4 linked regions of the Caenorhabditis elegans genome follow. The protein of the gene in region 1 interacts with the protein of each later gene in a pairwise test. Each region holds a gene or a part of one and is shown in the gene's direction. Other genes may lie near its edges. The genes, in order: arrd-11, dnj-27, epn-1 and ubql-1.

What was found.
Region 2: the proteins of arrd-11 (region 1) and dnj-27 interact in a two-hybrid assay, tested with the Caenorhabditis elegans proteins (one large-scale study listed by BioGRID).
Region 3: the proteins of arrd-11 (region 1) and epn-1 interact in a two-hybrid assay, tested with the Caenorhabditis elegans proteins (one large-scale study listed by BioGRID).
Region 4: the proteins of arrd-11 (region 1) and ubql-1 interact in a two-hybrid assay, tested with the Caenorhabditis elegans proteins (one large-scale study listed by BioGRID).

What each region holds. Positions count from the first base shown.
Region 1 is NC_003280.10:13,761,487-13,766,183, forward strand, and holds arrd-11 (Arrestin C-terminal-like domain-containing protein), read left to right. Parts: upstream 1-1,931; 5' UTR 1,932-1,940; coding exon 1,941-2,125; intron 2,126-2,447; coding exon 2,448-2,553; intron 2,554-2,599; coding exon 2,600-2,762; intron 2,763-3,198; coding exon 3,199-3,870; intron 3,871-3,920; coding exon 3,921-4,066; 3' UTR 4,067-4,156; downstream 4,157-4,697.
Region 2 is NC_003279.8:11,875,798-11,880,822, forward strand, and holds the start of dnj-27 (DnaJ homolog subfamily C member 10), read left to right. Parts: upstream 1-2,005; 5' UTR 2,006-2,008; coding exon 2,009-2,167; intron 2,168-2,211; exon of another isoform or gene 2,212-2,282; intron 2,283-2,363; exon of another isoform or gene 2,364-2,441; intron 2,442-2,497; exon of another isoform or gene 2,498-2,577; intron 2,578-2,579; coding exon 2,580-2,885; intron 2,886-3,986; coding exon 3,987-4,309; intron 4,310-4,627; coding exon 4,628-4,875; intron 4,876-5,025.
Region 3 is NC_003284.9:14,815,302-14,820,455, reverse strand, and holds epn-1 (ENTH domain-containing protein), read left to right. Parts: upstream 1-1,941; 5' UTR 1,942-1,961; coding exon 1,962-2,234; intron 2,235-2,284; coding exon 2,285-2,546; intron 2,547-2,623; coding exon 2,624-2,781; intron 2,782-2,830; coding exon 2,831-3,217; intron 3,218-3,269; coding exon 3,270-3,420; intron 3,421-3,651; coding exon 3,652-3,830; 3' UTR 3,831-4,651; downstream 4,652-5,154. Other genes in the region: Dual specificity tyrosine-phosphorylation-regulated kinase mbk-1, read left to right, coding at 1-262, 354-431.
Region 4 is NC_003279.8:7,020,057-7,028,001, forward strand, and holds the start of ubql-1 (Ubiquilin), read left to right. Parts: upstream 1-1,925; coding exon 1,926-2,018; intron 2,019-2,140; coding exon 2,141-2,246; intron 2,247-2,291; coding exon 2,292-2,599; intron 2,600-2,707; coding exon 2,708-2,836; intron 2,837-3,400; coding exon 3,401-3,644; intron 3,645-3,970; coding exon 3,971-4,110; intron 4,111-4,155; coding exon 4,156-4,239; intron 4,240-4,285; coding exon 4,286-4,398; intron 4,399-4,445; coding exon 4,446-4,511; intron 4,512-4,555; coding exon 4,556-4,616; coding exon of another isoform or gene 4,617-4,637; exon of another isoform or gene 4,638-4,667; intron 4,668-7,945. Other genes in the region: pdi-3 (Protein disulfide-isomerase), read right to left, coding at 501-731. UniProt on the Caenorhabditis elegans protein: May play a role in the ER-associated protein degradation pathway (ERAD) possibly via its interaction with ER-localized proteins ubxn-4 and cdc-48.1 and/or cdc48.2, providing a link between the polyubiquitinated ERAD substrates and the proteasome.

The sequences.
Region 1 (4,697 bases):
GAAAATTTTTGGAAAATTAACAAATTGCCGGAATTGAAAATTTCTGGAAAATCAACAAATTGCCGGAATTGAAAATTTCTGGAAAATTAACAAATTGCCGGAATTGATAATTTCTGGCAAATCGGAAAACTGCCGGAATTGACAATATCCGGCAAGCGGCAAATTGCCGGAATTGAAATTTCCGGCGAATCGGCAAATTGCCGGAATTGAAAATTTCTGGAAAATGGGTAAATTGCCGGAATTGAAAATTTCTGGAAAATGGGTAAATTGCCGGAATTGAAAATTTCTGGAAAATCAACAAATTGCCGGAATTGAAAATTTCTGGCATATCGACAATTTGCCGGAATTGAAAATTTCTGGAAAATCAACAAATTGCCGGAATTGAAAATTTCTGGAAAATTAACAAATTGCCGGAATTGAAAATTTCTGAAAAATCAACAAATTGCCGGAATTGAAAATTTTTGGAAAATTAACAAATTGCCGGAATTGAAAATTTCTGGAAAATCAACAAATTGCCGGAATTGAAAATTTCTGGAAAATTAACAAATTGCCGGAATTGAAAATTTCTGGAAAATCAACAAATTGCCGGAATTGACAAATTGCCGGAATTGATAATTTCTGGCAAATCGGAAAACTGCCGGAATTGACAATATCCGGCAAGCGGCAAATTGCCGGAATTGAAATTTCCGGCGAATCGGCAAATTGCCGGAATTGAAAATTTCTGGAAAATGGGTAAATTGCCGGAATTGAAAATTTCTGGAAAATGGGTAAATTGCCGGAATTGAAAATTTCTGGAAAATCAACAAATTGCCGGGATTGAAAATTTCTGGCATATCGACAATTTGCCGGAATTGAAAATTTCTGGAAAATCAACAAATTGCCGGAATTGAAAATTTCTGGAAAATTAACAAATTGCCGGAATTGAAAATTTCTGGAAAATCAACAAATTGCCGGAATTGATAATTTCTGGCAAATCGGAAAACTGCCGGAATTGACAATATCCGGCAAGCGGCAAATTGCCGGAATTGAAATTTCCGGCGAATCGGCAAATTGCCGGAATTGAAAATTTCTGGAAAATGGGTAAATTGCCGGAATTGAAAATTTCTGGAAAATGGGTAAATTGCCGGAATTGACAATATCCGGCAAGCGGCAAATTGCCGGAATTGAAAATTTCTGGCATATCGACAATTTGCCGGAATTGAAAATTTCTGGAAAATCGGCAAATTGCCGGAATTGAAAATTTCTGGAAAATCAACAAATTGCCGGAATTGAAAATTTCTGGCATATCGACAAATTGCCGGAATTGACAAATTGCCGGAATTGATAATTTCTGGCAAATCGGAAAACTGCCGGAATTGACAATATCCGGCAAGCGGCAAATTGCCGGAATTGAAATTTCCAGCAAATCGGCTAATTGCCGGAATTGAAAATTTCTGGAAAATTGATAAATTGCCAGAATTGAAATTTCTGGAAAATTGACAAATTTCCGGAATTGAAAATTCCCGGCAAATCGGCAAATTGCTCGACAAAAAAACCTTGCTGATTTTGACTGAACATTTATATTTTTTCTTTTGTGCGTTATTAGTCATTCGGATATAAACATCATTGCTAACAACAATTTTAAAATTCTCTGAGGAATCGGTCGCTATTTAAACAACCAAAATCTGTTTTTGTTCTTGTTCTCTGTGAGTAAATATTGTTATCAGGTTTGATTATTTAACACACACCTGTAAATGAAAATACCCAGTAAGATGTCAACATCTTAATTGATCACTTGTTCTCTCTTCCAACATTTATTTGTTCTATTTTTCTTATGAAATATGAAACATTAAAATTCGTTTAAATTTCCCAATATTCTCCATTTTCAGTGTTCTCTCCACCGATTTTCTTCCGGTTTTTTGAATTTTTTAACGATTTTTTTCCCAATTTCCAGGGTTATCATGCCAGAAACTGAGCTTCATGTGATATTCGACCAACCTAACGAAGTTTTCTTCCCGGGACAACCGATTTCCGGCCGAGTGGTGCTCTCAACGACGGAGGAAAAATACAAGGCTCGGGCGGTGAATATCAAAATTTTGGGATTGGCTCACACTAGTTGGACGGACTACGACAGTGTTCGCAGAGTGTAAAGAATTTCAATTTTCTGTTCAAAAAATATTATTTTTAAAGAAAATTAAAAAAAAAATTTTTTTCGAATAATTAAATATTTATTAAAACTGTAAAATTGTGCCTAAATTAAGTCAGAAAAAGGGGGGGGACCTAAAATTGTCGATGCAACAATCAATATTTTTTAAAGAATGATCTGTAAGGAGTTATAATGTTCCGTAAAAATATTAATTTGATGAAAATTTGAAAAAAAAGTAAAATTAAAAAAAAAAAAAAAAACATTCATAATAAATAATTCAAATAACAAATAATAAAATTTTTTGATAAGCATACATTTTCAGTGACAATGACGGCAATGTGAGGTACGATTCAGAATCGGTTCATTACTCATCGAATGTGCACTACCTGGATCAGGCTCTGCTTCTGTGGGCTTGCAAAGATGGATCGGTAGGAATCTGAAAACATTTAAATTTGAAATTGTATAAATTTTCAGAATGAATTGTCTGCTGGAGATTACGTGTGGCCATTCTCATATACTCTTCCTCTCAACGTTCCGCCAAGCTTTGAGGGAAAATATGGATATTTGAGATACTCGGTGACAGCTGAAGTGGATCGGCCATGGAGATTGGATAAGGCGAAGAGACGGTGCATCACTGGTGAGGCGAGGCGTGGGCGGTCTTCTAATTTTTAGTATTACCGTATTTCCTTTATTAGTAAGACGCCTCGATTAGTTTTGCCCCCTTCGTTCTACAAGTTCAAGTGTCAGGCTGTCCCATTTCAGTTTGATCTACCCCGCATTTTTTGAAGATCAAAAAATAATGGGAGAGCCTGACCCCTCGTGCAAATTAGGAAAACTCGTACACATTTGGTATAACAAGTCGAAATTGGTAAGAAATGAATATGTACAACTCGGACTATTTTGCCTATTACATAGTTATAAAATTATTCGTTCAATTTGGCTCAATGTGTGTTATTCAAATTGATGGTATTGTGCCATAACTTATGGAGAACTTGTTCAAAAACTAGTATCTAAATAGGTCGCCGAAAGTATGCATGCCGTACTAAAAGAGGAAATATTCTATATCCTTTCAGTTTCCCCACTGATCGATCTCAATGCCATTCCCCTCGCACTCACTCCAATCGACGACGAAGAAAGTGAGAACCTGGGCTGCTGCTTCTTCAGAAAAGGTTACCTCGAACTGCGAGTAAACATCCCAAAAACTGGATTCGTACCCGGCGAGACTGTTCCAATGAACATCCATATTCTAAATCACTCCTCCGTGCCCGTCACCGAGGTCAAGGCGAAAATCATTCAGCAGTGCAAATTCATCGCTTATCGAAACGGGACTATTTTCCGATTTGATGGAGGTTCGGATACGCTAATGTCAGGATCTTCGCAGCAAACAAAGTACGACACTAAGCCCGTTATCACGCAGACACAGCCGATGACAGTGACTCCAGGGAATGAGCACAAGTTTGTGCTGGAATTCCGTCTGCCATCTGTAACTCCAACCATCTGTCGGTTCTCCCCGGTGATTACTGTAGAATACGTGGTACAAGTCCGCGTGGAGACCACTTCAACATGCGGGAGTGCTGCTAAGTGTGAAATGCCGATCCTTATAGGAACTGTACCTATTCGAAATTATCTTCCACCACCAATTCCAAACAACTACCCAATTGGCCTGCCACCACCGTATGCTAATCTTACTGATGTGAATGTGCCCTGTCCGAGCGGAGGTAGTGGTACGGCAGTGATTCCAAGTGGTGAGTTATTCAGAATTCCAGAATTATTTTCTAAGATTGAAAGTTTTCAGCTCCACCACCATCCTACCAGGAATCCATGTATGGAGTGGGAGGAACCGAGCTCAGAGCCGAGGAGAACGAAAAACCATTTGCTCCAAAATACCCAGTATTCAATAATTTGCCAATATATAACCCAACGGCGCCACCGTCAGAGTAGCAATTCTTAATCCAACTATGTTTGTTTTGTTATTGGTTAGGGTGCTATGCATAAACTTTCTTGACAGGTTGTTTTTTACTTCAGAAGATTCAAAAAGTCGTAAAATTTGATATGCCAAAATAAAAAATTTGCATTTAATATACACATCAGGCGTGAGCGGGAATTGCTGTTCGGCCAATTTTTTTGTCGACAAATTCAGCAAATCAGTAAATTGCCGGTTTCGCGATTTGCCGGAAATTCTGATCTTCGCCGAATTGCCGATTTGCCGGAAATTTTTAATTCCGACAATTTGCCGATTTACCGGAAATTTTAATTCAGGCATTTTGCCGATTTGCCGGAAATTTTTAATTCCGGAAATTTGCCAATTTGCCGGAAATTTAAAGCTCTGCCAATTTGCCGATTTGCCGGAAATTTCAATTCCGACAATTTGCTGATTGCCGGAAATTTTCATTTTCGGCAATATATATATAAATATATATATTCCACAACTTGCCAGTCTATAACCCAACTGCGCCAGTGCCGGAGTAACCATTTTTTGAGCACATGTTCTGTACAACCTATGGATGATAATTTACTATAATTTACTATAATTTAAATATTTTAAAACTAATAAATTAATTTTTTCCGTGAC
Region 2 (5,025 bases), on another chromosome or scaffold:
GTTAAAAGTCACCTAAAAAGTCGATTTTCATAACAAAATACCTAGAAAATTGTCGAAAACCGGCAAATTTCGGCCTAAATCTACTTTTAGGCAGATTTTAAGTTGAAAAATGCACAAATATTTCTAAAACCTGACAATTCAACGATTTTTTCCTAGAAAAAATCGTCGAAATCGACTTTTTCGACTTTTCAGTATTTTTTCAGTAGAAAAGTTCACAAAAATGTCCGAATTCGACGGAAAATTCAAATTTTTTTTTTCCAGAAAAAGTGCTGATTTTAGCCGAAATTGGGTGGAAAAATCGAAATTTCGACGAAAAAAATCCAATTGCAATTGAAAAACATTGATTTTCGTTCATCGAAGTATCCTCTTTTGTTATTTTCCACTTTTTTCCCGCAGGTATTCTCTCGCCATTCACCAAGACATCACACGAATCCCGGAGACGCAGACAACTGAAGAGACCCACTTTTTGTGTGATTCAAAGGGGTCAACGCATATAGCCGGCCGATTCGTGATGACTCATCTCTGTGTTATTCTATAAATCTCTTGATTTTTTTGAGGATTTAACTCTTTTTTTTCGAAAAAAACGTGTTTTTCCGAATTTTGTATGGTTAAAAGTATCGGAATCACCGTTTTTTGTTGATTTTTTTCTCAATTTTCTTTTTTGTTTGAGTAATGATTAAGAAATAAGAACGGAAAGAAGAGAAGAAACTGTGAAAAATGAGAGAAAATATTTCAAAATCAGGAAAAAAAATCATTTTCCAAATTTTCAGGATATTATGCGGATTATTAGGGTTAGAACACATTTTAAATTATAATTTTAATTATTTTTAACATTGAAAAAACAAAAAATCATCCGAAAACTACTCTTCTTTCACAAAAATCGGTCAAAAATAAAAAATTGCGAAAAAAAAACAAAACAAATTAAATGTAGCAAGCGCGCTCCATTGACAAAATGCCGAAATTTTTGCGAGCGAAGTTTGAATTTCGTTGCAACATGGGGCATTTTTCGTGAAAAACAAGATTTAAAAGAATTTATACTTTATTCTTGCTCAAGAAAATTAATTTTTCCATAAATTCTATTAAAAGTGGCAGTTAAAACAACAATTTCTAAGATTTTTTCACTTTTTTTTTGGCGTTTGCTTGTTTTTCAGAGTTTGGAATAGTTTTATGTCAAATTTTGATTTCTTCTCATTACTTTCTTCATAAAAAAAAATGCAAAAAAGCAAATTTTATCACTAAATCGTTCAATTTCCACCTAGAAAAGACGAATTTAACGCAATTTTCCGATTAGAGCGCATTTGCATTGTGCGGGAAATTCAAATTATTCAAAAATTCTCCTCTAGTTTCCAGTTCTAGTACAATCGGTGGCCGAGTTTTTTTCTTTTTTTTTCCAGCGGCCACATAGCAAGAGCCAACCTGTATACTTTTGCAGTTCTTGTGCAAATCTGAGCTCCGCCGAGCACAAACAAGTTTGGACAGTCCACTTCTCTGCGTCTCTCGTGATGAGTGTGCTCTCTCGTCTAACCTCTAATCCTTCCCAGATATTTGCACATCTACCCCAGTTCCACATAGCCATAAAGACTTGGGTCATTTTTATCGATTTTTTCGGTTTGCTCACAATATTGTGAGTTTCTTAATTAGGTCTTGGTAGCTTTTTGGAGCATTTTGTGACTTTTTATGCCTAAAAACCAGTTTAAATATACTTTTTTAATGCTTAACTAGATCCAAACACCTTTGAAAATTGTCCAAAAAAATTATTTTTTGGCCGAAAATTTCAGTCGAAAAAAGCATTTTTTCGGCCTAAAAAAAATTCCAAAAAAATCCCTAATTTTTTCTGTATCTCCAGAGCCACTTTTTAAGGTATAAATCAGCAAAATTTTCCGATCAAAATTCCATTTCCCTATATCTTTTCCCTCTCTCTATCTCACCCTATCTCGTGCGTTAGCCGACGTTTACTAAGTCCCAGTCAGTTTAATTCTATCAAATTCTTCACTTTTACTTACAGAAAATGAGGGCAATTGTCCTATTATCAGTGTTAATCAGTTGTTATCTGGTGATTGCGGAGGACTATTACGAGTTATTAGGTGTTGAACGAGATGCAGACGATCGGACGATTCGGAAGGCTTTCAAGAAGTTGGCGATCAAGAAGCATCCTGATAGGAATACGGTTGGTTTTGCGGATTTATCTGTTGAGCGGTTAGAGATATAAAAAAGTTGTCAACTTGAAAAATGTGTAAAATTAATTTTTAAACACTTTTCTAGTTGACCACTTTTTTATAGCTCTTCTCTGAGCTGAGAAAAAACGATTTGAAGTTTACAGTCTCATAATTTCACGTTCAGTGTCATATCTTTTTTGTAGTTTGAGATATCAAAAAGTTGTCAACTAACAAAATATTTCCCACTTTATTCTGAGCATTTTAATAGTTGAAAATTTTTTGATAGTGCTGCTCAGAGCTGAGATATTCAGGGTTTTCTCTAGCCTCTCTGCGCTCTCCCCTCCTCCTCTACTCTCTCCCCCTTCTCTCTCACTCTCTACAGAGAGATCTCTAGCGTCTCTCCACACATACCACTATTTCCAGGATGATCCAAACGCCCATGATGAATTTGTAAAAATCAATAAAGCTTACGAAGTCCTGAAGGACGAAAATCTGCGAAAAAAATACGACCAATTTGGAGAAAAAGGACTGGAAGACGGGTTCCAAGGAGGAAATAACTATCAAAGTTGGCAGTTTTATAATGATAATTTTGGAATCTATGATGATGATCAAGAAATTGTGACTCTCAATAGAGCAGACTTTCAACGAATGGTTTCGGATTCAAATGAGATTTGGTTCATCAATTTTTACTCCACTTATTGCTCACATTGTCATCAGCTGGCTCCTACGGTAAGAGAAAAGCGGGTTTTGGAATTTAATGTTTCTATGTGAACATAGAAAAAATTTGGTGCATTTTGAGGCTAAGTTGAGCCAAAAATCTCAAAAATGGAGTGAGATATGAAGTTTTGGAATTTTTTGAAAATTGAACATTTTGCAAAATTTGTTTTTTTTTCAAATTTTGGAAAAATACCTTATTTGAAAGTATTTTTTAAATTTTAAAATTAAAATAATTTGAAGTATTTTAAAGCAAAAATTAGCTGAGAATGTTTAAATTGGACTAAGTTAAGGTAATTTGGAATTCTTTGAAAATTTGAAAAAAACTGACCAAATTTGGAAAAAGTTCAAATTATTGTAAAAATGAATTTCTTGAAAACTGAAATACATAACTTTTGAATATAAATAATGTATACAATTTCAAATTTTTCAGGACAAAAATGAGCCAAAAATCTCAAAAATTGACTGACATACAGTGATTTTTGTGAGATACAGTGATTTGAAATTTTTGGAAAATAATTGCAGAAAGTATTTTTTTCAAATTTTGGAAAAATGCAATTTTTTGAAAGTTTTACAGAAAAATTTCATAAACATATATTAAAATTCAAATAATTTGGAGTATTTTAAAACAAAAACGAGCTGAAAATGTTTAAATTGGACTGAGATACGGTAATTTGAAATTTTTGGACATTTGAAAAAAACTGACCAAATTTGGAAAAAGTTCAAATTATTATAAAAATGAATTTTTTGAAAACTGAGATACATCACTTTTGAATTTAAATAATGTATATAATTTCAAATTTTTCAGGACAAAAATTAGCCAAAAATCTCAAAAATTGACTGACATACAGTGATTCGAAATTTTTGGAAATATTTTTTTTCAAAATTCTGGGAAAACGCTTTTGAATTTTTGTATTGTTTTATTAAAAACAGAATTAATTCCTAAATGTTTCACAAAAAAGATCTAGTTGTAAAAAAATAATTTTAATTTTTTTCGATTTTGAAATAAATTTTTTGAAAAATAAAAAAAAAATTTCAAATCCACCTAACTCTGTCAGTTTTCAAGATTTTTTGCTCATTTTTACTACCAAAAATGCAAAATTTTTCACATTCCAGTGGCGAAAATTCGCGCGTGAAATCGAGGGAACAATCCGTGTGGGTGCTGTGAACTGTGCCGAAGATCCACAGCTGTGCCAATCTCAACGTGTAAATGCCTATCCATCACTTGTGTTCTATCCAACTGGAGAATTCTATCAAGGACATCGTGATGTGGAGTTGATGGTGGATTTTGCGATTCAGCGGCTCAAATCTGAAGTTTTACATTTAAATTCGGAGAATTGGAAGGCGTTGAGCGAGGACTGGGAACCATATAATCGTCTTCCATGGGTTGTTGATATGTGTGGAGGGGATCATATTGATTGCCTGAGCTCTACTACGAGGTAATTGATTTTTTTTATTTTTTGAAAGCCAAGAAAAAGTGCACAAAATTGGTTTTTACAGAACTCAAAAATATTGATTTAGAGCCAAGTTACAAGGGTTTTAAGTTGGTGGCCTAGAAAACTCATTTTTGAAGAAATCGGCCACGTAGCTTATCAACTTTTAGATTCAAAAAAAGTTTGTGTAAATTGGTTTTTATAAAATTCAAAAATATCGATTTAAAGCCAAGTTATAGGCAGTTTAAGTTGATGGCATAGAAATCCTAAAATTTTAAAACCTCGACCACGTATTTTCTAGGCCAATAACTTCTAAATTTGCAGACGAAAGCTCTCCTCAATGCTCGACGGACTTGCCAACGTGGCAACCATTGACTGTAACGCTGAAGAAGCTCTGTGCTCGAAATTCAATCCAATCACGTCAGGAGTAATGTGGTTCCCGGCACGAAAACTAGTGAAAAAGAGCCAAATTAATATTGAGAGCATGGATGCTCAAGAGATTTCAAAGAGTGTTATTCAATATCTTGATGAGCTTGAAGATATTTCAGTGGAGAGCTTGCAGAGGTTATTGGGTGAGTTTTGACAACACTTTTTGCTCATTAGGCTTATGCTTAGGCCTAGGCTTAGGCGTAGACTTAGGCTTGGGCTTGGCGTCAGTGGGGTAACGCTCCCCCACTGACGTTATTTAGGGTTAGGATTACAGCGTTTTTTTCATTTTTCAA
Region 3 (5,154 bases), on another chromosome or scaffold:
GCAGAAACAGGCTCAACTCCAACAGCAGCTCCAGCAACAGCAAATGCAGCAACAGCAGCAACAGCAACAACAACGCCAGCACATGCCACAAGCGCAGAGCAGTTCCCAACAGCACCTCCAATCACGGGCGCGGCCACGACAACAGGATCAGAACGAGTGGAGGAATCAGTTTGAGCTGGATGACACGTTTCAGCAGAAGCAGCGAAAAGTTGATGACTCTGTATCGAATCAGATTTCTAGAAATCAATTCAATCCACAACAGGTGAGATTTTTTTTTGCAATAAAAAAAATGCGCTGCTGCACCCCCCACCCATCATTCAGAAAATGCCAATTATTGAAAATAAATATTTTAGGTATCGATGACGCATGGAAATGTAAATGCTAACAACCGAGAGATGGAGAAACTCGATTACCCGAACAACAAACTCTGAAGCACACAGAGTCTAATAGCTAATTTTTTTGGAAATTCTGTCAATTTGATGTAATGCTTGTTATTTTTTTTTGTTTCTGTGAACAATATGGAGTTAATAAACACTGGTTCAACTTTAGCATTTTTTTATTACTACTGTTGTATTTTCAATTATAAGTTCTCAATTTATCAATTTAAGAGGGTTTTTTTTTTGGAAGTTTTAATTAAAAATATTGGAAACATTTAAAACAAGCATGAATGACGTGTCAACAGAAAAAAAAACCTGTTCAGATATTTCGTAACTTCTCTATTTGCCAATGAGCTATCCTCAACCCAAGCAGCAGCGGGGCATTCGTCACCGACTGCAAAAAAGTACTACATACTAGAAGTTTTTCGTTCAGAATTTTCTTGCAATTTCTGCCATTTCCCCCACCGCCCGTTTGCCACCAATGTCCATCCATCCATTTCGCAACGCGACCAGGAAGATATTATAAATCTTCGACGCCTTTAGCCAATCCCCCCCCCCCCCGTCATCTCCACAGGAAAACCTGTTTTTGTTCTTCTCAAGTTCCATTCGTTTCTCTGTATTCTCTTCATTTTTCGTCCAATTTCATATAACACACCCTTTCCATCCATGTTTCTTTTTTTTTTTTAGGAGGCCCGTTTTCATAGAAAAATGAAGGCATTTGGAAATGCGAAATACATGTGTATGCATGTGTGTATACGTTTGTTTGCCGCTCTTCCAGTCCTAATCTGTGAACACCTTCAGGCAGCGACGGATAGTAGCACACACTATCAAAAACTGATACTCACTGACTACCCCTTCTTCTCTTTTCATCAATCATTCAGCCCAGCACACACTCACTCACTGAAACGAAGCAAATAATCTCGTGACTTTGCGAACTCACTAGCTTAATTTCTTTCTTTTCTGACCACCGTGCGCTGCCACTGTGTCTCTCGCACTATCCGGCTCCTTTTTCTCTGCGCACTCTTTTCTCTGGGGGACACTTCTAACCATCTGCGTCTCACTGCAAATGGTGCTCTCTAGCACGCGCACTGACACTCGTGCGCTCACTGTGCGCTGTTGCACGCGCGCGGCGCGCGTTCGCCTCGAGGAGAAATACTCTCGCGCTCAACACTCAACACTCACAGATACACACACAGACACAGACACAAAACGCATGCGACGCGCGCAAAAAGACCACACACACACACACACATATATATTCACTCACAAAAGACTCACCCTCTCCAAACCTCACTCATTCGCCTCTCTGTCTTTCTTTCATTTTCTCTCTCTCTCAAATATGCATTGTACATGCGCGATTCTATTGGATCGTTTCTTATCAATTTCTATGTTTTAGCCACACCATTCAGCCACATCATCCCTCTTGCCAGTTGGCATTTTTGTAGTTCTCTGTTCAGTTTATTTGATTGGGCATAATCTTATCCATGTGATGTTTCCTTTTCAGTCAATGGTCATTCGTTGTATAATTTTGATTTCTGCCTTTGCATCTCTTTAACTTTTTTTATTTTCAGGCGGGGAGCAAACATGTCGATTTCGACGATTCGCCGGCAAGTGAAGAACGTCGCCTATAATTTCTCGGATGCACAAGTAAAGGTTCGCGAAGCCACAAGCAACGATCCATGGGGACCATCCACAGCGCTCATGTCCGAAATTGCCGACTTGACGCACAATCCAATGGCGTTCACTGAGATTATGTCAATTGTTTGGAAGCGATTAAATGATTCTGGCAAAAACTGGCGACACGTGTACAAAAGTCTGGTGCTTCTCGATTTTCTCATCAAATGCGGCCACGAGAAGGTAATGGTTTTCTGACTCATATGCATTATCGATTTTTTTTCGCATTGCAGGTCGCGCAACAATGCAGAGAGAACGTGTTCACCATTGAAACACTCAAGGATTTCCAGCATGTGGAAGACAATCGGGATCAGGGCTTGAACATTCGAGAGAAAGCAAAGCAGATCACTTCACTGCTCTCCGACGATGAACGCTTGAAAAACGAAAGAACACGCTTCATCCTCACAAGAAACAAATTCAAGCAAAACAATCCAGGACCGGTTGGAGCGGAAAGTCGTCGCAGCAATCGTCATCATGTCACCGACGCGTCTCTTGGTAAGATATAAATATCATATTGAAATAGCAGCGCGGATACTTCCCCACAACAACTCTGCTCAATTAAATTTTTTTAGACCCCGAGTACGAAGATGCTCGTCCATCTACCGCCACCGAGGAAGAGATGCAGCTTCAAATTGCTCTTGCTCTTTCACGAGAGGAATGCGAAAAGGCCGACGAGATGCGCAAGAGCGATGATGCTCGCCTTCAAATGGCTCTGGAAGAGTCGCAAAAGGTTTGTTTAGAAACCCACCATATTCCGTCTTCCCATTAACCCCTTATAGCTTCAGGATGCCGATCGCCTCGCAACGACCAAGCAAGGTACCGTGAGCAGCGGACAATTAACCCAATCCGCTCTTGACGACCTGCTTTCGTTGGGTGTTGGTGAGCTGGTCAGTGGAAACAACGATCAACCATCGTCATCGTCGGCTTGGGGAATGAATGATCCATGGGGTGCTCCACAAGCTTCTGCCTCTCTCAACACAAACGATCAAATGTTTGCTAACTCGATGTCCAACAACGATCCATGGGCTACATCGACAGTTGCTCAACCAGTTGCCGCTACCGCTCCAAACTCTGATCCGTTTGCTTCTTGGGATGCACCGGCTCCAGCTGCAACTACTCCATCAACAATGCCAACGAGCAGTTCGTTTGATCTTCTCGGAGGAGATGTAAGATCTATTTTCAGTCATTCCGTAGATTCTGTATATTTATTTATTTCAGCTGCTCTCCCCAACTAACTCATTGAGCGCCAACATCAACACTAACAACTCCACAAATGGTACCAGAAAGACTCCAGAAAACTTCCTTGGGGAGAACTCTAACCTTGTCAACTTGGACAACTTGCTGGGAAGCGGAACTCCAAGCACCACAGGTCAGTACAACCAAATTTATTTTCAGATTGGTGCTATTTTGTGCTACTGCTCTGTGTTTGTTTGTGTCATCCCTCTTAAACTCGTGCTCACACCTTTACGGCAGAAGCGCCGCTGATATCAAAATCAGCTGATAAGATGTGATGTCGTAAAGGGCACAATTTTGAAAGCGCGAACGCACTGGCGCAATAAAAAAAACTGATAATGATTGAATGTTCTACATTTTTTTTCAGGTGGAAACCCATTCCTTACCGGAGCCGCTCCAGCGAACGCCAATCCATTTGCTGCTCAACAACGAAAGTCTCCGACATTGAATGAGATGCGTGCTGCTCAAGGACAGGCCCCTCCAATTCCATCGATGGCTCCACGTGGGACACTTCCACAAGCCAATCCATTTGCAAATCCTTTCTAAACAGTCCGGGCAATTGGTCTTTACTGTGAAACTACCTATTCTAATCAGCTTTGATATATTTCTGTCAAAAACGAAACTCACTCTCATATACACTCACCACGTTTTTCCCCCGCGCCTCCTTTACAATTTCTTCTTCAATTCATGTTTGTGAAGCCCGAAGATAAATTAAACTTTGTAATTTATGATACTTATATGTCGATTATTTGTATAATCTATTTATATCTATTGCAAGCCTATCCTCCTTTTACAGCCTGTCATTGCTTGTTTGCATCTTCTCCATCCCATCCCCACTAACTTGTCATCCTCCTTTGGCTAAACTTGACTCTTTTTTTTTGAAGTAATTGTTGGTGACGGTTCAAACATTTCGTCCCCACCCATTTGCCTTCTCTTCTCCCAAAATTTTTGGGAATTATTTTATACTTTTTCTGTACAATTTTCGTCTCCCGCAACTTGTCTTGAATTAAACCGTTATAAAACGATACGATTGATGAAGTTGAGTTGTTCAATTTCTTCACTCTTTTTTTCTTTTTTGGCTCCACCCTTTCCTTCAAGTTTTCCCACATCTTTTTTTTCTTCGTGTGTATGGTATTTTTTGTAGCGTGTCTGATTGAAGGAAGTCTTCTTTTTTTTTCTCTTTATTTTCTTTGGTTGCTTCTAAATAACATCATATCAAGCAAATGCTGTCGACTAACAGTAATTTGGAGACATAACATTTTTTAGGAGATGCATATGACTTCCCACATTAAAACAAACAACAAAATTAACACAACTTCTACTGAAAAATATTTTTTTTTTCAAATGAATAAACAATCTTATCATTTTTAAATTTTTGATAAATCATTATTAGTATTTCATGTTTTTGATGACCGCAAATGCTACTTTAGACACGAAAAAGCCATCCATCGGAAATTTGGGGAACAATTGCAGGAAATTGAATATAAAAAGCACGAGAGCACTTATCCGGAATGAAATTGGCGGAAAAGGTTATGAACAATGGTTCAGAGGGGTTATCGCATTTATTGGAAGAAAAAATGGGTGAACAAGGGATGGCCTAGAAGTTATTGTTGGAAGAATGTGAAATTGTGTTTTTTTTTTCAGGAAAGGGGTCAAACCTATTTTTAATGTTCTGAACAAAATAGGGCAAGTGAAAAACGCTTAAAAAGCTCCTTCCTCCATTAGTCACGCAAGCCTAATTTTTAATTGATCCGGATTACACACTTTTGCAATATTTAATCGGCTTTTTGAACACTTTCATTCATAATTTACTCAAAAAATGGTGGTTTTACAGAAAGTTTCGTTTGTCTTTCAAGCAAAAAAAAGGTCA
Region 4 (7,945 bases), on another chromosome or scaffold:
GGGGGCTGGATTCCTATTACTAAACCGTGGTTCAAATCTTTGTTTCTTTTTTTTTACAATCTTCAACTTCAAAAACATAATCTTTTGTTTCATTTACTACCATATCGCACTCGTTTGTGGTATAGATAAAACTGTTTGCTACGCGACTGGTGTTTTTGCTCTTATCGTTAATTGATGTCCGTATTCTGTAGAGTAAAGACCTGACAACAAACAGTGATTTGATGCGTGGGAAAATGTAAATGTCGAGCCGATCTCATTGTCAATGGCCTTTTGAATACACAATAACCATTTTGGACCAGCATACATAATATATATGACGGACAAATGTTTCTATATGCATAAGGACTAGAACAATAAATTCAAAGAATCCTTTGTATGCATTTCATATATTTCTATTCAATGTGGCTTTCGTTGCTGTTTTATCAGCTTTCGCGTATTTGTCAGTGTCACTGCGATCGATATATGAGCGATGGCTGTGTAAATAAGTATGGTTATCTTACCTTGACGAGAGCGACTGGTGGATCGTTAGATGCGAGTTTTGGGGCAGCTCTCTCATACTCTGGGGCAATTTTCTTGCAGTGTCCGCACCAGGGAGCGTAGAACTTGACAAGAGCAATGTCGTGGGTTTGGATGAGATCATCGAAGTTTCCGTCGGTATACTCGAGAACGGCTCCTCCAGCACTGGCGAACGCCAGGAAGGAGGCGACCAAAGCTGCCTGGACCCAAATCATTACCTAAAAACTTTACCTATAAACGACAATCGATCGAGTGAGTTTAGAGGGCGAGAGATTATCGGGAACACCGACAAAAAGTTAAAAACTAAGAAACAAGATTAGAGGTTTTCAGATTATTCAGAAATATTTTCTAGAAATTGAGCGAACGATTGAAGAGAAGGGAAGGTGTTTTCGCAATTAACAAACCGCGATCGCATCGAAAACGTGAGCCGCTTGACGCGAAACGTGTTTTCGTGGCGAGATACCGCGAGCGGTAAAATCAATGCGCCTTTACTTTATTTATTTTTTTTTCGCATTTATTTTCATTCTTTTCTGTGAATCACATGTGAATGGACAAATACAGATTGTTTCGGGTTCAATTTTAAGTATTTACAAACACTTTTCAAAAATTATCTTTAATAAGTGGAAAATACAGTTAGTAAATAACTATAAATTTTAAGCTTAGAAGAAGAAAGCCAAAAAACATGTGTTGTATGGAGGAGAAATTTTATATAGACTCGGGGAGCGTTATATCACTTTTAATGATATTATTACTAATAATCCAGAAAATGCAGAGCAGAAGCATAAAAATAGACCCGAATTGTTAAGGTCCACGTGGCGCTCGTGTGTACACCAGGGATTGGTAGGAACTGAGCCAAAAACACGTCGTTCACTGCCTGTCGCACGCGTGTTGTGTGCCGATTGGCCTCATTCTTGTGAGAACTCCGCCCAATGGGTCTCGCACGGAAGAGGCGACCATCATGTGTCGATTTACGCAACTACCGCATCATTTTATTGATCATTGTTTTTTATTCATTTTATGACCTGATATAGAAGGAATCGACGTTAAATTGGAAGGCAAATTGATTGGAGCGCCATTTAGAACTTTAATTTCTTATTTTTATTGTAAATTTGAATCGATAAAAGGAACAAAAAGATCACCATGGAAACCAAATTAGTCATCACGTGCATATTGAAGCTCGCGCGTCAGGAAGAATTGTGTCTTCGTTTATCTTCGTTTATTTTCTATCGAAGAGACCCATTACATTATTACATTATTCGGTCTGAAATAGTTGCGAAATTTCTTTTTGCGCTTCGAGAATATTCTCGATTTATCGATGCAACGTGTTCTTTTCCGTCTCCGCCTCTCATTCTCTCAATCCTTTTTCTTTATTTAATTTTGTCGGTTTTTTAATATTTCTCAAATTTAAGATGGCTACAGAGAGTGCACTCATCAAAGTTCACGTGAAATCACCGTCGAACAAGTATGACGTTGAGATTGCTGCGGATGCATCAGTTTCAGAAGTATGTTATATTTTATTTAAAAAATAAAATTTTGCTCTTGAGAATTAGATAAAAATTCAAGTGATTATTCCATTTTGATAAATTAAATGTGTAAATCACAGTGTTTAATTAATATTTTACAGCTAAAAGACAAGGTTCTTGTGTTCGTTCCAACTGCGAACAAAGAACAAGTTTGTATAATTTACACCGGAAAAATTCTGAAGGATGAAGAAACTCTCACACAGCACAGTAAGTTGAAAAATGTGTTCCAAAAAATAATAAACAAAAATTTAGAAATCGCTGATGGTCACACCGTCCACTTGGTTATTAGAAATCAAGCCCGTCCAACACCAGCGCCGGCTGCTGCAACACCAACAGCTTCATCTGCACCAAGTTCCAATCCAACACCTTCTTCACAACCGAATCCTACCAATAATCCATTTGCAGCAATGGGAGGAATGGGATCACCTGCTGATATTTTAAACAATCCAGATGCTATGCGTTCAGTTATGGATAATCCAATTACACAACAACTTCTAGGAAATCCAGAGTTTATGAGAACAATTATTCAATCCAACCCACAATTCCAAGCATTGATTGAGGTTCGAGTTTTTCCTGGATATTTGTTTTGTAAATTTTCGGATTCGAAAAATTATTTAATTTTTTAATCTTCCACATTTCTCTCGTATATCGACAATAAATATTTTCAGAGAAATCCAGAAGTTGGACACATTCTCAACGATCCGAATGTAATGCGTCAAACTATGGAGATGATTCGTAATCCAAATATGTTCCAAGAAATGATGCGGAATCATGATCAAGCTATTAGGAATCTTCAGGTACATTATATATAGCTATGCTGATCAAGGGATGCCATTTTTCAATTTTTCAATGTTTTCAGCGAAAATCGAAACATCGAAGAAAAAAAGTCCAGAAAATTATCAATAAAATTTGATTTTTATCAAGTTGTGTGACACACAACTTGTGTCATATATGTTGGTGACAAAAAACATACGAAGACATTTTAATGTTATCTAACAATTGTCTAAAAAAAAGAAAAATTACCAAAATTTAATACCATTTTTTAAAAATTGAAAAAGTCGGTTTTTTCTCTCTAAAATCGAAAAACGAAAAATTCTGATTTTTCAGTTTTAGTTTTAAAAAATCGATCAAGGATGCCGATCTAAATGTCTAAATATGACTATTAAAAGTAATTAATTGTTATTTTAATTGATATGGCAAAAAATTGCTAATTTTTTTTTAATATCAGGGGTACATTTCTGGAAACTATATATTCCATCCCAGCCGCGCTACAGGGGTTTTTGTCTTGAATTCCAATTTCAACAGATTTTCCTTTTTTTCGGTTGGATTTGTTATTTTATGTTGAAACATTCAATTTTCAGGGAATTCCCGGAGGAGAAGCTGCTCTTGAACGGTTGTACAATGATGTACAGGAGCCCTTGCTCAATAGTGCAACAAATTCGCTCAGTGGAAATCCATTTGCTTCTCTAAGAGGTGATCAGAGCAGTGAGCCACGTGTCGATCGTGCTGGACAAGAAAATAATGAAGCTCTGCCAAATCCATGGGCTTCAAACGCCAATCAAGCTACCAATAATCAATCGAATAATCGTTCTGCTGACTTTAATTGTAAGTTTTTCTGAGTCAAATTTCTCTAAGTAAAAAAAAATCTTACATTAAAATCATATAATAATCAATGACGAGTGGCAAATGCCAAATATCAATTTGCCGAAAAAATTAAAAAATTGTAAATGTGAAAAAAGATTTTCAGCAATGTATTTTTGAACATTTTCCTTAAAAAATTTCCAACAAAAATTTCAAAACGACAAATTTCCAATTCGCCCAATTTTACGTCTGCCGCCCACCATTTATTATAATTTTAAACAAAATATTTAAACGTCACGAATATCCTCATAGTTTAGTGATCCGTTAATAATGTTTTAATTCATATTCAGCATTGCTTGATTCACCTGGCATCAGCTCCCTAATGGAGCAGATGATGTCCAATCCAAGTATGCAGGCCAGTATGTTCAGCCCAGAAGTCATCAATTCAATTCGTCAAAATATGTCAAACAATCCTGGACTCATTGATTCCGTTAGTTTCATTTTTAAAAAATTTAAAATAATTATGTAAGTTCAGATTGTTGGACAAATTCCATCGGCTCGTGATAACCCACAGATTTCCGAAGGAATTCGTAGAAGTTTTCCACAAATGCTCAACATGGTTTATTTTCTAAATTTTTACAAAAATTTATATTTCAAAATTTCAGATGTCTGATCCATCTGTGATGGAGGCAATGAGAAACCCACGGGTCAGTGAAGCATTCCGTCAAATTCAAGAGGGATTTTCAACTCTTCGCAGAGAAGCACCTCAACTTTTGAAGTATTTGAAAATACCATTTAGTCAAAAACTATTTAAAATTATTTTAGCCTTTTCCAAGCTGGAGCAATGGGAGGTGGAGCATTCGGTTCTGATGCCAATGCATCTTCTGCTGGGTTCGTTGATAGTTTTTATAGCTGATAGTTTTTTCTCATTTCAGAGCAAACTCTGCAAACGGACTTGCCGATTTATTCAATTCAATGAATATGGGAGGAGGAAGAGTGAGTATATTGAATATTTGATTTCTTATGTCACTTCTTATGGGAGCAGAGGTGATTATTTTCAAGTTCGGCCTTCTCGAATTGTCTAGAAAAAAAAATATTCAGAGTGAAATAACGAGATAATAAGATTTTATGAACTGAAAAAGAGAAAATTTCTATTTAAAAAGCTAAAAAAAAAGCATTACTACTGTAGAAATCAGTTTTTCTTATTTTTTATTCATTGCAAAATTTGAAAACTCGACAATAGCCTATTTTTGGATTGTGAATTTATCGAAGTGGTAAAATTTTTTTAATCGGCAATTGCCAAAACTTTCTATTGTCTGTATGATAGTTATTGAAACATCATGGGTTCAAAGAACTTTTTCAGCTAATTGAACTATTTTAAGCTTTCCTTTCTAATTCAATCGACAGATCGATTTAGAATAATATCACCGAATCCAATAATTTCCCATAGTATAGTTTTTTTTATACTTCCCTCTCGATTCCGTGGTCTTTTGAATTTTCCAAATTGAAATGAAAATTTGGATGATTAGTTGAAGCCTCACATCAAATGAAGTTCCCCCTTCATTTCATATATCAAAGTTTTTGCTCAAATTTAGAAGCTGATGAGTTGCGCCGAGTCGCCGTTTGCTCTGTGACAGCGACGGAAGTGCGCGAGCAAGAAAGAAGAAGTCATCGTGTGTCTGTTCTGAATAATGTAACAAGACGATGCTCCGTCTTCTGCTTCTTCTGTGCCGTCGTCGCTGAGCAGAAGCAAAAGTCGGCTCGTTTGACATGCTATGGATAAATGTTAGATAATGAGTATAAAGTGACGAAGACGATGGCAAACTGATGACAGCGTGCACGATCGAAAATCTTTTCCTGTTTGCTCAGAAAATGCAATTATCATATCGAATTTCATTTAGACCCCGGTGGCGTATCTAAAATTGTTTCGAAATTCTGATGTCTCGGCCCTTTCTACAGACAGAATATACTCTTAGAAAAGAGAAGTGTGGGAGATTTATCATGAGTTCCCCCAGTGAAAGAGGAAGGCCCCTCATTTCCTTGTCTTTTAATTTTTGATGATTGTTAGACGAAACAATTTGAATTGGAAACAAAAGCAATAATTTCTGCATTTTTCGTTTTCATCACTTGACATAGGAAGTGTGAAAGGCGGGCATCTTATCCATACGAATAGATCAGATTTTTTAATTTTCGTCGACGTTGCACTACTGGACCGAATGCTCTCGCATCACACAACACATTGTTGGCACATACATGTTATATGTCATTTTACATTTTCGATTAATTTTGTTCAATACCAAAACGTGGATGAGTGTGTGTATGTATGTGCATTGCCCACATAAAATGATATTAGTAGGCGCACATAAAAACGTTGATCGACAAAGGCTCGTCTCTTCACATAAATATTACACATTTCACAGCAAAAAAAACTATGTTCAATAATCAGATCTTTTTTGGGATGAGAGGGCAACACAAAAGCTGAAAGGAAACTTTCTTATCACAGAACCTTCAATTTTAGTAGATGTGATCTTCACTACATTAGGGGTTATTTGTACGCACAATGCCAAATTTTCGGAAAGTTGAGCTTTTTGTAAAGTTTAGAGCATTATTCCATGTTCGACACCCTAAAATGTTTTAATACAAAAAATTAAATTATAATACTTGAATAATTGCCTATTTTCGGTCGAATTCCAAAATTAAAATAGGTGGTATCTAGGTAGTTGCCAATTTCGACTGCAAATTAGGAAACTTGATTTTTCGAGAAGTTTTACTACGATATCTGATCTATATTTCTTTTTTCTTCGGCCCCTTTAATAAGCAAATCAGTGTTGCTCTTTTTGCTTCCCGCAATTGTTAGGAGCACATGTTTTGTGGCATATTTAGGATGCGCGACGACGTATTTGCACACACACACACACACACATTCCACGGATCGGATGTCACTATAATCTCATCTTGTAAGCGGTTACGCTGCTATCAAATTTATCCCGTATGTTTCAAGCAATTGGCCACAACATTTGTTCTCCCCCTTTTTGTTATAACTGCTGCTGCAGCTTTTGTCTCATTAGATGATTGTTTTGACGACATTTGCATAGATCATAGTAAACGATGTGTCTCCAGGAATATTGTGTAATGGAATAGTGCGCGAGGTTGGTGCGCATGATGAGAGCAGATAGGAAAAAGGACGGCGACGTTCCCCTTTTATTCATTCAACAATTGTCTAATCGGCGATTGTGTGGAACACGCGCCGTGCCATACACGTATTTCATTTCATAAAGAGGCAGCTGGCGAACATCTTCCGGTCTTCTCGTTTCCCGCCTTTTTTGTTAAGATGAGCCGATGCAAATGATATTCGAAGTGATTAGTAGTGGAGTCTATTAGGAGCCGACGTCCGAAACGATGGGATGATCTGTTCAGTGGCAAAACACTTAGTGTCTTTTGAATAGGCATTCGATTGGTTTTCTTGTTCTTACAATAGACAGATGGCTGGTTGCATGGGAAACAGTTCTTTCGAACACCTGTATCAAACCTGTGATATAGTTATTTTATAGTAGAACATCGCTTCTCTTGCTCAGATCATATTGAAACCTTGATTTTTGCATTAAGGATAAACAATAAATTCAAATATCTAAAATTGTTTCTCCTTTAAAGTAGTTCCCTTAAAATTACGATAGCTAAATCCGAAACATAGTCCAATCATTTCTTCTCATTAATTAGTATGTTGATGGAATTGTAGGGACATGTGTAGAGAGTGGAGGACACGTTGTATCACTTAATGCATGTTGTCGAACTCGTCAAAGTATGGTGTAATGCATAAATCGAATGAACGGAAAGATGCGGTAGTGCTGGTCACAATAGGAAGAAGAACAAGAGGGGTCCCATGCAAAAACACATATGACGCGTCGATTCGTCCAACTGCTCCTCTTCCTGTCTCTGTTATTATTGAGAACAACACACTCATAGATATAAATGCACAGATACTCGTTGTTCGCGCACTCATTTGTTTCGAAACATGACAAGCAAAATGCGTTTTTAGAAGATAAACATCGTAGCACTGACTCGTAATATGTAATGAACAATTAAGAAGCAGCTCTACGCATGCTATGTGCATTTCCCTCATGTTTTCAAAATTGCCTATTCTCAGAGGAAATGTTAATTTGTGTCTGTGTGGGTATGTATGTGCATCATTTCAATCAAGTGCTCCGCTCTCCTATAGACCATATTTTTTGTTTCTTGGGAATAGATTTTGGAATGATTGCCTTCCAAATACAAAGATGGATGGATTTGGAATTGAGCCTCTAGCACAACAATAATTGAGTTTTCAA